Linked DNA regions of Kluyveromyces lactis. The protein of the gene in region 2 binds, or shares a complex with, the protein of the main gene of each other region. Links are inferred from orthologs where the notes say so. Each region holds a gene or a part of one and is shown on either strand. Other genes may lie near its edges.

Region 1 (2,227 bases), on a different chromosome or scaffold from region 2:
TTCAATTACAGGCTAACGAACTGAATACGTGACCTAGAAACCTATATTATCTTCACTAGTTTACGGGTGATTCTTATCATTTTTCTTTTTGTTCAGATGTCAATTCGGCAGACGTATATTTAACAATGGAAGAAAGCTTAACATAGAGTTCTACACAGTAAAGTTCGCACAGGGTCCAATTCGAAAGAAGGGGATTTCTGTACAGATGTAGGTACACAGGCATATCTCATATATATTATAACGCAAAAAATATTAAGGAATCAAAAACACTCCACAAAGTCTGATATGGTCCATTCCAAACAGATGATATATATCTAGAAGAAATACGAATACAAATTATATATACACATGAAATGACATATCCAAAAAACTGTACCAATTCCGAGAAAATCGATATTCGATGTATCGACAGATAGTAGATGAGATACCAAAATATGCTCTGTTTATTAGTGTAGTATGTCCCAACTGCCAGTATTTTTGCCAATGTGTTTCTAATATTTCTTCATGATGACGATACCTGTGGTAAGTAATAGATTAATATGACGCTAAAAGGAAATTCGAGGGAGGGAGGAATGCTCCTTGAGAAAATGTGTTGAATTGTTTTATTTGTTTTTTATATTTTGACGTTTAATCGAACAAACCGAAACCCATGTCATCGTCAGATTCTTCCTTTTCAGATTCTGGAGCTTCTTCAGCAGCAGCTTCAGAGTCACCAGAAGCAGCACCGGCACCAGCAGCTGGAGCAGCTGGACCAGCGGCGTGGAAACCGGACAAGATTTCCTTGATGTCCTTACCTTCCAAAGCCTTAGCGAAGGTTTCAGCCCACACGTTGTCGATAGAGGCACCGGCAGCCTTGGTCAAAGTCAACAAGTTGTCGGCAGTGACATCCAAACCGGCATCAGCCAAGATCAAAGAGGCGTAAGAAATAACAGCGTCAGACATTGCTAGTTAGGTATGATGTGTATATGTGGATCTATAGCAAAATCGCAACAACAAGCAATTGAACCTCAACAAACAACCTAACTACAACTTATCAATAAATACGTGTTGTATAATTAAACGTTCAATATCTTATTGAAATCTAGCTAGTTTTCCAGTGAAAAATATTATTCGGTGAAAATTCAGAAAATCTGGAAAACTGAACAAGATTTGAAGTTTTGTTGATCCAAAAACGACAACAAGGGAGGGTAAGTTTACACAGAAGAAGATGTACAAGACAACGCCATAGATGTAAGAGACACTAAAACACTTAAAACAGGAACAGCTACGTGTTGCCAATCGTCAGAATATCCCATAGCACGGGTTTCAACTACCACCGGCCCCAAAAAGTGTTGTCAAGCTCGGTAGAAATACAATATAATTTATGCGTATCTCAGGGCAGAACTGTCAATATGGGTGTAGTGTATGGGTGTTAAGTGGGATTTATTTCCATTAATGGAAAAAACAGAATATATTATAATGAGAAATTTAAAGTGAGATGACTGGGTTTTACACACAATCATGACAGCACCATATGAACAGTCCCGAGCTACATATTATAACATGCAAAAGTGATAATAAAAAAAGGATAATTTTTTCTCCGATACCGGGAGTCGAACCCGGGTCTCCACGGTGAGAGCGTGGTGTGATAGCCGTTACACTATATCGGATTACTAATTTTAGATATCTCAATAGGACTGAACTCACTTCCCCACGAAAGGGTAACTTCTACTAAGTTACTGTAAATAATATCTTTCCTTCAATTCAGTGTTTCCCTTGGATCACTGTGAAGCAACCTACGAAAGGTTAGGACTGACTGTTCATTCCATTGTGTAATCCTGAGTGAAATTGATTTCTAATTATAGTATAATGAATGTTAATATATTAAAATTGAATTACATGATTATAGTTTTGTTTTTAATCTCATTTTCAATATTACCAAAAACTTTACGTGTGGTGTCAGCGCATACGCGAGCCAATACGCATATACTCAACGCTTCCATAAGAAAGAACTGTAAAACGGCGAAGATGAACAAGTAAACACTTCTTCCTTGAGCGCTTACCAACGGGCGTTTTTAAGCTGACATGATAGATAAAAAAAAAATCTGTATCCATTTTCTTGGTTTTCATAATTTCGTCAATAATAAAATTCTCAATTTGACTGCGTAGAAAAAAACATTAACTACGATTGGGTTGATCTCATTAATCAACAGACAGCTTAGTTGATCGAATTGTAGAATATTTTAAA
Region 2 (2,246 bases):
TTTATTTCAGTCCTGTTCAAAAAATCAACCGTTATACTTAACACATATTTCAACATTCAATCTCTAAAAGAATTTAAAAGCGAAAAAGATGTTTCAGCTTATCGTAATCACCTAAGGTTCCCCCTTGCAATTTGAGGAAATAAGTAGAGTTTTCTTTTCAATTCCAAACAACCACACAATCCATCCCATACTATTATGAATTATTGACTTAGAAACACAATAAACTTAAAATTTAAAAATAAGAAACAAAAAAGTGAAGGAATCACAGATCGAAGGGTATCTGGAATCAATTTGAAGAACTGTACCAAAAAAATTCAGAAGAAGAGACTACTCCACTACCATTATTTTATTATTATTATTATTATTATTACTACTAGATTCGGTTTTCTTCCTCTTTTTTCTCAAAAGAATTAAGAAAATAACCTTTCTCAACACCCATGGCATTGCAAATAGAAGGAAAGAGAGGAGTAATATGGTATCATTTTACTGACCCTTTCCTTTCAATAAAAAATTGGGATCAAGATATGTTAATTGTTTCCAAGTCTTAGTCATGTTTATTTATTTCATCTGTACCTAAAACCTTTTGTTCATCTAACATTTTCTTTGGCACTTATTTAATTTGTAAATGAAAAGAAAAAAACAATCCGTACAGCAGTCCGTCATACTTTTTCTTTGATGTTTATGCTCACATTATTGTCTCATTATGTTGATCTTCATGCTTAAATATTTGACGATATATTATGTCGTGCAATCTTTATTTGAGGCTAGTATGGGTTTGAGATAAACAGTTTTGGTCCATGAAATTCTGATAAACGAGGACTGTTTAAACTTTAGTTAACACCCGTACACCCATTGGTTTTATTTCTTTCAAAATTTGGTGTATCTCGGGAAATTCAAAAACTGAAAGAAATTACCGTATTTAGTATTTCTGCTGCTCCATTTTCGTCAGATTGCAGGTTTTCGCCTGCCACTTCATAGTTCAGACAATGAACCTTCACTTCAAACATCAATTGAAAGGAGTGAATGCTAAATTAAAGGTAGTTCGTGTTGTTACATTAGCAGTCGTAAGAGAACCGGAAACCAACTGAAAACGTACGTTTAAACATGGCACCTAAGTGATATATGGAGTACTGGAGAAAGACCGAACAAATTACCGTTAAATTGAGGATCAGTATGATCTTTATTCACCAAGTTTGATATCGAATTAAAACGAGAGGTAACCATCATTGACATTGACTAGAGAAGAATCATGCCGTAACGAATGAAACTTAGAGCACTATTGACTGAGATTTGTTAACTGATGATCGGAACTAACTGCTGAAATGGAGGGCAGAACGAATACAATACTGAGAACTTACTACACGACGGAGTCAATCAATGGACAAATCAGGTCTTATACTTTACAAGCAATACTCCTGGCAGACTTTTAACATATGGACGATTTAATTTTCCTCTGTACATCCATTATATCACAGAAAACACTTATCAATTCCAAATTCAATTTTACTAACAATATTAATGATGAATATATTTTCCTATAGTTCGAAATGGCTAAGTCTAAGAACCATACCGCTCACAACCAAACCAAAAAGGCTCACAGAAACGGTATCAAGAAGCCAAAGACCTACAAGTACCCATCCTTGAAGGGTGTCGATGCCAAGTTCAGAAGAAACCATAGATTCGCTTTGCACGGTACTGCCAAGGCTTTGGCTGCTAAGCGTGCTGAAAAGAAATAAGCAGCTTAGTATTTGTTCTGTCGATTGAAAAAAATGAACTTTTTTCCCAATTAGACTAACTCAACTATCTTGTATAACGTTTCTTTCATAATATCATTAATTTAAGATTAACTGACGGTTACTTTTGTAATTACGTTAATGCTCTTCAGGCGTCTTTCCTTAGCCTTAGAATCTCATCTCACAGTCACGTGCATGAAACTTTCAAAAAGTGTAAGGTATAGTTGTTACCCGGATACGTCAAGAACGGCGGCTAGTTTCCCTTTTTTATTTTTGAAGGACTCTATTGTGGAATTTTTCGTGTCAAAAGTCATCTAATTGACGCCACTCGCCTTATTCCTTTATTATATATAGATAAACGTCAGGTAGCCCCTGATTTTGTGACACAACTTCTATACAGAAATCTTCCTCGAAACATTATATATATGAACACAAAGTCAAAGGCCTTCTTGAATTCCCAATACATCGCTTGATAGTATAGGCAACAGTCGAAAGGGCGTACTTGTGGAGCTT

Evidence for each region. Proteins that work in one complex are often made in the same cells at the same time.
Region 1: RPL29 (region 2) and RPP1B share a complex: the UniProt entries of both Schizosaccharomyces pombe proteins name them as parts of the large ribosomal subunit. The link is inferred for Kluyveromyces lactis from reciprocal best matches to the Schizosaccharomyces pombe genes rpl29 and rpp102.

The regions. Positions count from the first base shown.
Region 1 is NC_006042.1:543,712-545,938, reverse strand, and holds RPP1B (ribosomal protein P1 beta), read right to left. Parts: upstream 943-2,227; coding exon 628-942; downstream 1-627. UniProt on the Schizosaccharomyces pombe protein: Component of the ribosome, a large ribonucleoprotein complex responsible for the synthesis of proteins in the cell.
Region 2 is NC_006040.1:1,353,739-1,355,984, reverse strand, and holds RPL29 (60S ribosomal protein eL29), read left to right. Parts: upstream 1-1,547; coding exon 1,548-1,736; downstream 1,737-2,246. UniProt on the Schizosaccharomyces pombe protein: Component of the ribosome, a large ribonucleoprotein complex responsible for the synthesis of proteins in the cell.